Linked DNA regions of Macaca fascicularis. The protein of the gene in region 1 purifies or fractionates together with the protein of each later gene. This does not show direct contact. Links are inferred from orthologs where the notes say so. Each region holds a gene or a part of one and is shown on either strand. Other genes may lie near its edges.

Region 1 (4,480 bases):
GTCTTGCTCTGTGCCCCAGGCTGGAGTGGCGCGATCTCGGCTCACTGCAAGCTCCGCCCCCCTGGGTTCACGCCGTTCTCCTGCCTCAGCCTCCCGAGTAGCTGGGACTACAGGCGCTCGCCACCTCGCCCGGCTAATTTTCTTGTATTTTTAGTAGAGACGGGGTTTCACCGTGTTAGCCAGGATGGTCTCGATCTCCTGACCTCGTGATCCGCCCGTCTCGGCCTCCCAAAGTGCTGGGATTACAGGCTTGTGCCACCGCGCCCGGCCTCTTTCTTTTTTTTTTTGAGAAAATATTTGAGATAGCCCAGGGCCTCTCTCTGGAGCCGCATCCCCTGCCCGTGTTGGCTTATCAAGTTGGCACTGAAGTTGGATCTCTAAAATGTTCACCAAGAAAGCCAACTCCTTCGTGTACTTTCAGTACTTAAAGCATGTGTTTTTATCTTTTAAATCCACGTTCAGCGTCGTGACACTTCAAGAGGTGGGCAGATTATTTGTTTGTGAATGAACAGCATTTATGAGAAATTTGGAGAAATTTGATGTTGAAGAGACACGAAGAATCCCGAGCTTTCCAAAACAGACTGAATGAAAATGCAAGCTCCTGGAGCAGGGGCCTCTGCTGGATGTTCGGAATCATGGGGCTGGTGGGGCCAGGAGTCTGTACTTTCATAACAGCCAAATTATCTAAAGTATATAGTCATTCCCAGTCCAAACTCTGTATGGAGAGAAAAAAATCTAAAAATGGCATATTCGGATTATGTTATTCTAGCTTCCCGTAGAAATCAGGCTTCAAGGAGCATACAGCATTCTTATCAACATGAGACACTGATTTTTAGGCAATATCTGTACCTTTCATAAAGCTGGCTAAAAGCATCTGCCAGTATTTATATAAGAATCCATGTCTGTTCTTTTTTTCCAAAAATCCTAGAGCAGTTGGTTCCTCAGATAAACCTGTGTGTTTCTTTTATCCAGTAAAAGCAGCGCATCCAGAGGTACTTGTTTCCTGGCCTTCTGCGAAGCCCACAGATAAATTAGGTCTCATCTGGAAACGTCCCATTTCAAAAGGCCTGCGGTATCTGTGCCTACCGATCAATTCACCGCCTCACTTTAAAATGTGAGTCTGTTCTTAGAAAGGATTTATAACTGCGTCTACTATAATAATAAAATGTAAGCAACCTTGCGCTAGGTACTGAAGAATTTCATAGCTTTGAACTCTCCAAAATGTTCTAGAAGCCAATATAGAAACCCAGAGATCTCAGTTTTTGTTTGCAGAAGGGACAGGAGAACCGGTCGTGTTCGCCCTCCCAAGTGCACAGCGCCAGCATAGGGTCTAACACACAGCCCAGGCTCTGTAAACGTTTGCTAAAAGAACGAATCAACAAGGAATAAATAATGGATAATAATAATAAATAATAGTGAATTCATTCTTCCTGCAGTCGTGGGTCTGGCGGGAATAAATTCCGGCCCGGATTCCGACCCCAGGGCCAGACCGGGACTCGCCTCGGCGCCTAGGAGGGGGCGGGGCTTCCCTGGGGTGCCGCCCACGTCGGGCGGGACCTGAGAGGCGCTTGAGGGGCGGGGCGTCCATGAGGTCCCACCCATGCGGGGGGCGGGGCCTGCGGCGCGCGGGAAGCGGCGCGCGCTGCGCGGGAGGTGACGGCGCCTCTGACCGTCCGGGTTCCTGCAGGTACGGCTTCCCGGGGCTGGCCCGGGCGGCTCCGCGGCTCTTTTGGTCAGGTCGATCTGGGGCCAGAGGCCCTCGCCCAGGGCCTGGGGCCCGGGATAGCTCCGGACGGCGCGCGTTCGGGCGGCGGGGCCCCGTCCACCCCCGGCCCCGCGCGGCCTCCTCCCGGCGGCCTCTGTCCCAGCTTCCCGGGCCCAGCGCCCGGACCCTGGGAAAGGCGGGGTTCTGCTCTCGCCCCGCCGCCCCGGTCCCCTACCCCGTTTGCCCCCCTCTTCCGGGAGGCCCCTCCCGGGGCGGGCCCCTACCTGGGCTCTCAGGGCGCGCCCCTAGACCCTACTAAGCGGGGACAGGCCGTGCAGATGGCCGGGGCCCCTAGGTAGCCTCTACCTGGATGTTTGGTTTTGCTTTTCTGGACGTAGCGGCGTATCATAAACTTGTGGATGTCAGGACCCAGCGAAGCATTTTAGGTGGAGCTAGCAAGGTGTTCTTGTCAGATGGCAACGTTAACATCCTTTCCCAATGCAGTGTGCATTTTAAATGGCTCCTGCCCTATTCAGCGCTCAGTAACCCTTCGCTGCTGCTAACACTGTTGTTTAATCCATCACCAGCATTTTGCAGCTTTCCTCCGTCTTGAAGTAGAACGGTGCCCGAGAAACGTTTTGCCCCTTCAAGACTCGGGAGGATGAAAGTCATCACTTGTGAAATAGCCTGGCACAACAAGGAGCCCGTGTACAGCCTGGACTTCCAGCATGGGGCGGCCGGGAGGATCCACAGACTAGCGTCTGCGGGCGTGGACACCGCTGTCAGGGTAAACTGGGGCAGAGATAGCCATCTGGGAACACTGCTTGAAGCAATAGTTTTCATTCTTTTATTTAAAACCAATGTCGGCTGGGCGCGGTGGCTCACGCCTGCAATCCCAGTGCTTTGGGAGGCTGAGGTAAGAGGATCACTTAAGTCCAGGAGTTCGAGACCAGCCTGGGCAACATAGCCAGAAATGAAAAAGTAGCAGGACGTGGTGGTGTGCAGCTGTAGGCCCAGCTACTTGGGAGGTTGAGGTGAGAGGATCGCTTGAGCCTTGGAGTTTGAAGCGAGCAACCATCACTCCACTGCACTCTAGCCTGGGTGACACAGCCAGACCCTTCTCTTAAGTAAATGAATGAATGAATTGAACATATGTCAACAAATTCAAACTACTCTGTCATCTAGCCCAGAATGCTAAATTTCCAGGGCCTGCGGTGAACAATGAAAGCAAAAGAGAGCTGCTTTTTTTTTTTTTTTTTTTTTTTTTGAGATGGAGTCTCGCTCTGTTGCCCAGGCGGGAGTGCAGTGGTGCAATCTCGACTTACTGCAACCTCTGCCTCCCAGGTTCAAGCTATTCTCTTGCCTCAGCCTCCCAAGTAACTGGGACTACAGCCACTCATTACCACACCCGGCTAATTTTTGTATAAAGTAGAGATGGGGTTTCACCATGTTGGCCAGGCTGGGCTCGAACTCCTGACCTCAGGTAATCCACCCACCTTGGCCTCCCAAAGTGCTGGGATTACAGGCCTGAGCCACCATGCCCTGGCTCTGCTTTCTTATTTGATTCATTTTCCCTAGATTATTGTAACTGGACGTTCATTGTTTTGGGATTCTGATCCTGGTTCCTATTGGGTAACAAGTTGCTCTAGAAAGAAGGCGGAGGGGAACAGTAGACATTTATGTTTTAGATGGGGATTTCTTTCTGAAAATAAGCATAGTTTTTTTTTTTTTTTTTTTTTTTTTTGAGACAGGGTCTTACTGTGTCGCCCAGGCTGGAATGCAGTGGCCTGATCTCGGCTCACTGCAGCCCTGACCTCCAGGGCTCAAGTGATCCTCCCACCTCAGCCTCCCGGGTAACTGGAACTACAGGCATGTGTCATCACACTTGGCTAATTTTTAAAATTTTCTGTAGAGACCAGGTCTCACTATGTTTCCAGGCTGGTCTTGAACTCCTGGCCTCAAGTGATTTACCCACCTTGGCCTCCTAAACTGCTAGGATTACAGTTGTGAGCCACCGCACCCAGCCCATAGTATTGTTTTAATACAAACAGTATAATATGTGCCCATTCTATGTTTTTCAAATGAATGTTTTGGTATTGACAGATCTGGAAGGTAGAAAAGGGACCAGATGGAAAAGCCATCGTGGAATTTTTGTCCAATCTTGCTCGTCATACCAAAGCTGTCAATGTCGTGCGTTTTTCTCCAACTGGGGAAATTTTAGCATCGGGAGGAGATGGTGAGTATTGCTGTTCTTCAGAGATTCTTTAGGCACCAGATAGATACCTGTGTGTCTCGTGTCAGATAGTGAGATTTGAGCTGAATATGCTTTTTTAGGAGGGGTGGGATAGAGTGTTGCTCTTATTCCCCAGGCTGGAGTGCAGTGGTGCAATCTCGACTCACTGCAACCTCCGCCTCCCGGGTTCGGGCGATTCTCCTGCCTCAGCCTCCCAAGTGGCTGGGATTATAGGCACCTGCCACCACGCCCGGCTAATTTTTTTTTTTTTTTTTTTTTGTATTTTTAGTAGAGATGGGGTTTCATCATGTTGGCCAGGCTGATCTCGAACTCCTGACCTCAGGTGATCCACCTGCCTCGGCCTCCCAAATTGCTGGGATTACAGGCATGAGCCACCGGGCCTGGCCTGGATATGCTTTTTATTTCAGATATGGCCGACCTTCTCAATCTGTCATTTAGGTAGTTCAGTAAAATAATGTTCTAGGGAGTGCGGTAGAATCGGAGAGGGAGGACAGCAAGATGACACTGGGAGCACCTGTTTG
Region 2 (3,809 bases), on another chromosome or scaffold:
CCATGTGTTGTCCTCACTGAAACCAGAGGGCACAGCAAGTCACACTTTCACTCAAAATAAGTATAATCATACTAAGGATAATCGTAAGAGGACAAGAGCTCAGACGTCCATGGAAAAGCTGAAATTTCTTGGGGAATGGGGAGGCTTTTTAGTATAAATAGAAAGCTAAGAAACTGGCTTCCTTCAAAGGCAAATGACTTTTATTTGTCAATTTAAATCGGTCTATAGCCACACACAATATTTCTCAGAAATCACTATGGGCTGGGTACAGTGGCTCACGCCTGTAGTCCCAACACTTTGGGAGGCCCAGGTGGGAGGACTGCTTGAGGCCAGGAGTTAGACAAACCTGGGCAACTAAGTGAGACATGGTGGTGCATGCCTGTGGTACTAGCTACTTAGGAGGCTGAGGTGGGAGGATACCTTGAGCCTGGGAGGTTGAGGCTGCAGCGAGCTATGACTGCACCACTGTACTCCAGCCTGGGTGACAGAGCGAGACCTTGTCTCAAAAGAAAGAACTTTAAAAAAGAAGTCATTCTGCTCTGTATTACAAGCAGTAGGCCATGTTCCTAATTAAACAATAAGCCATGAAGGTGGGGACTGAGTCACACAGTTTCCATCACAGCACTGGAGGTCTCATACATCTCTAGACTCCTGATAAACACCTGGTGGCTACATTTACTTGTGTCAGTGAAACTTACTCTGAGAACCCCTTCCACTTTAGGAGGTACTCCACTTTGCCCTTTACCACTCGACGGTCGAGAACTTTTTCCACCACATATTCCTCTTCCTCCTCTTCTAGCACCTCCTCCACTTTCTTCTTGTTTTGTTTTTTCCCCATAGTGCCCGCCAGCTTTCTGGTGTAAAGGGTGACGCTGCTGAAATGATAAATGAAATAAAAAGGGAATTAGGGAGCACTCTTATTGGTTAGATAATATCTGGATGGTAAGAAAACCAGAGACATGACAGGTGATAATATTATATGCTGCTTACAATAAGTGTGAGGCCTATTCTCACATTCGATACACAATAGTTTTCTGATATGTGCAGTCAGAAAGCTCATAAAAAAGCCCCAATTAATCTTACAGCGAAACTTTTTTTTGAGAGACGGAGTCTTGCTTTGTTGCACAGGCTGGAGTGCAGTGGCACAATCTCGGCTCACCGCAACCTCTGCCTTCTGGGTTCAAGTGATTCTCCTGCCTCAGCTTCCCAAGCAGCTGGGACTGCAGGCATGTGCCACCAAGCCCAGCTAATTTTTGTATTTGTTTTTTTTTAGTAGAGACGGGACTTCACTACATGTTGGCCAGGCTGGTCTCAAACTCCTGATCTCAGGTGATCCGCCTGCTTCGGCCTCCCAAAGTGTTGGAATTACAGGTGTGAGCCACTGCGCCTGGCCTTCACAGCAAACTTCTTTATTCTTGTGTATCCATTTACAACTTTTATACCCATTATTTGTCATTTAAAAAGGCTCCCAATACTCCTTTTACCATAAAGCATGGTAGCTAGGGCCACGCGTGCAGGCTCACATCTGCAATCCCAGCATTTTGGAAGGCCGAAGTGGGAGAATTCCTGGAGCCCAGGAGTGTGTGACCAGCCTAGGCAACATAGCAAGACCCCATCTCCACACACACAAAAAATCTGTAAAAGAGCATGGTAGCTAAAATATTGCATTAAACTCAAAGAAGGCCGGGCGCAGCGGCTCACACCTGTAATTCTAGCACTTTGGGAGGCGGAGGCGGGCAGATAGCCTGAGGTCAGGGGTTCAAGACCAGCCTGGCCAACATGGCAAGACCCTGTCCCTACTAAAAATACAAAAATTAGCCAGTCATGAGCCAGGATCGCATGACTGTACTCCAGCCTGGGCAACAGAGTGAGACTCCTGACCTCGTGATTCGCCTGCCCTGGCCTTCCAAAGTGCTGGGATTAGAGGCGTGAATGACCCTGCCCGGCCTTTTTTTTTTTTTTTTTTTCTTTTAAGACGGAGTCTCACGCCAGCCCAGGCTGGAGTGCAATGGCACAATCTCGGCTCACTGCAACCTCCGCCTCCTGGGTTCAAGTGATTCTCCTGCCTCAGCCTCATGAGTAGCTGGGACTACAGGTGTGAGCCACCATGCCCAGCTAATTTTTGTATTTTTAGTAAAGACAGGGTTTCACCACGTTGGTCAGGCTGCCAGGCTGGTCTTGAACTCCTGACTTCGTGATTCGCCCATGGTGGCCTCCCAAAGTGCTGGGATTACAGGCATGAGCCACCAAGCCCCGCCCCACCCCACCCCCCTTTTTTTGAGACGGAGTCTCACTCCAGCCAGGCTGGAGTGCAGTGGCACAGTCTTGGCTCACTGCAACCTCCGCCACCCGGGTTCAAGTGATTCTTCTGCCTCAGCCTTCTGAGTAGCTGGGACTACAGGTGTGTGCCACCATGCCCAGCTAGTTTTTGTATTTTTAGTAGAGACAGGGTTTTGCCATGTTGGCCAGGCTGGTCTCAAACTCCTGACTTCAAGTGATCCACCCATCACAGAATCCCAAAGTGCTGGGATTACAGGCATGAGCCACTGTGCCCAGCTGAGTTCTCTTGTTCTTTATGCACTCTTTTCTGAATTGAACTTACAATTCACAAATTTCTTGTTAACTTATTGTATTTAGTTTATTTAACAACTTTTCTTCTTTTTTGAGACAGTGTCTCTATCACCTAGGTTGGAATGCAGTGAAGTAATTATGGCTCACTGCAGCTTTGACCTCCTGGGCTCAAGTGATCCTCCTACCTCAGTCTCCTGAGTAGCTGGAACCACAGGTGTATGCCACCATGCCTGGCTAACTTTTTAAATTTTCAGTAAAGACAAGCTCTCACTATGTTGCCTAGGCTTGTTTCAAACTTCTAGGCTCAAGTGATCCTCCCGCCTCAGCCTCAAGTACTGGGATTACAGGCATGAATCATCACACCTGGCCTCCAATTTATTTCTAAAAACTAAGGAAGAGTCACAAAAATGCCAGAATGACCATGCAATTCTAAACTGGAACCCTGTAATAATCTGGAAAACAAGTGTGGGGAAAACAGAATTGTAGTTATCAAAGATAATAGAATCTGAGTTTACTCCTTTATAAAATACATCATCAAGCTGGGTAACATCTAAGAGTTTTTCCAGTGTTGAAATTTTAGTCCTTCATCTTATAAATCTTACAAATCTATTTAGTCCTTCATCCAAATTTCACTTTTTTGAGGGAGGGGGACAGAGTCTCCCTCTGTCACCCAGGCTGCAGTGTAATGGTGCTATCTCGGCTCACCTACGCCTCTAGGGTTCAAGCGATTCTCATGCCTCAGTCTCCTGAGTAGCTGGGACTACAGGTGCCCACCACCAGGCCCGGTTGATTTTTGTATATTTAGTAGAGATGGGGTTTCAGCATGTTGGCCAGGCTGGTCTCCAACTCCTGACCTCAAATGACCTGCCTGCTTCGGTTTCCCAAAATACTGGAATTAACAGGCATGCGCTACTGGACCCAACTCTGACTTCTCACAGACTTCAAGACTTAAAGATTACCAATTTCTGTCAGTAGATGGCGCTATATCAATGAAACAAAATTGATCAACAAAACTGGCCAAAGAATTACTTGGATGGCAGGTAATCCAAGACAAGGAAGAAAGAGTTACTTCTCTGCTTGAGTTTTCTAAATACTGTAAAACTGGCATGTACAGACAGACTGCATGTAGAAAGAGTCCATCTACAAGGCCGGGTGTGGTGGTTCACACCTGTAATCCCAGCACTTTGGGAGACCAAGGCAGGCAGATCACAAGGTCAGGAGTTCGAGACCAGCCTGGC

Evidence for each region.
Region 2: the proteins of CHAF1B (region 1) and CBX1 purify together in Homo sapiens (affinity purification with mass spectrometry; 4 studies listed by BioGRID and IntAct, with this or other methods). This does not show direct contact. The link is inferred for Macaca fascicularis from reciprocal best matches to the Homo sapiens genes CHAF1B and CBX1.

The regions. Positions count from the first base shown.
Region 1 is NC_088377.1:10,583,347-10,587,826, reverse strand, and holds the start of CHAF1B (chromatin assembly factor 1 subunit B), read left to right. Parts: upstream 1-1,627; 5' UTR 1,628-1,687; intron 1,688-2,292; 5' UTR 2,293-2,366; coding exon 2,367-2,492; intron 2,493-3,808; coding exon 3,809-3,941; intron 3,942-4,480. UniProt on the Homo sapiens protein: Acts as a component of the histone chaperone complex chromatin assembly factor 1 (CAF-1), which assembles histone octamers onto DNA during replication and repair.
Region 2 is NC_088390.1:58,653,233-58,657,041, reverse strand, and holds part of CBX1 (chromobox protein homolog 1), read right to left. Parts: intron 876-3,809; coding exon 699-875; intron 17-698; coding exon 1-16. UniProt on the Homo sapiens protein: Component of heterochromatin. Recognizes and binds histone H3 tails methylated at 'Lys-9', leading to epigenetic repression. Interaction with lamin B receptor (LBR) can contribute to the association of the heterochromatin with the inner nuclear membrane.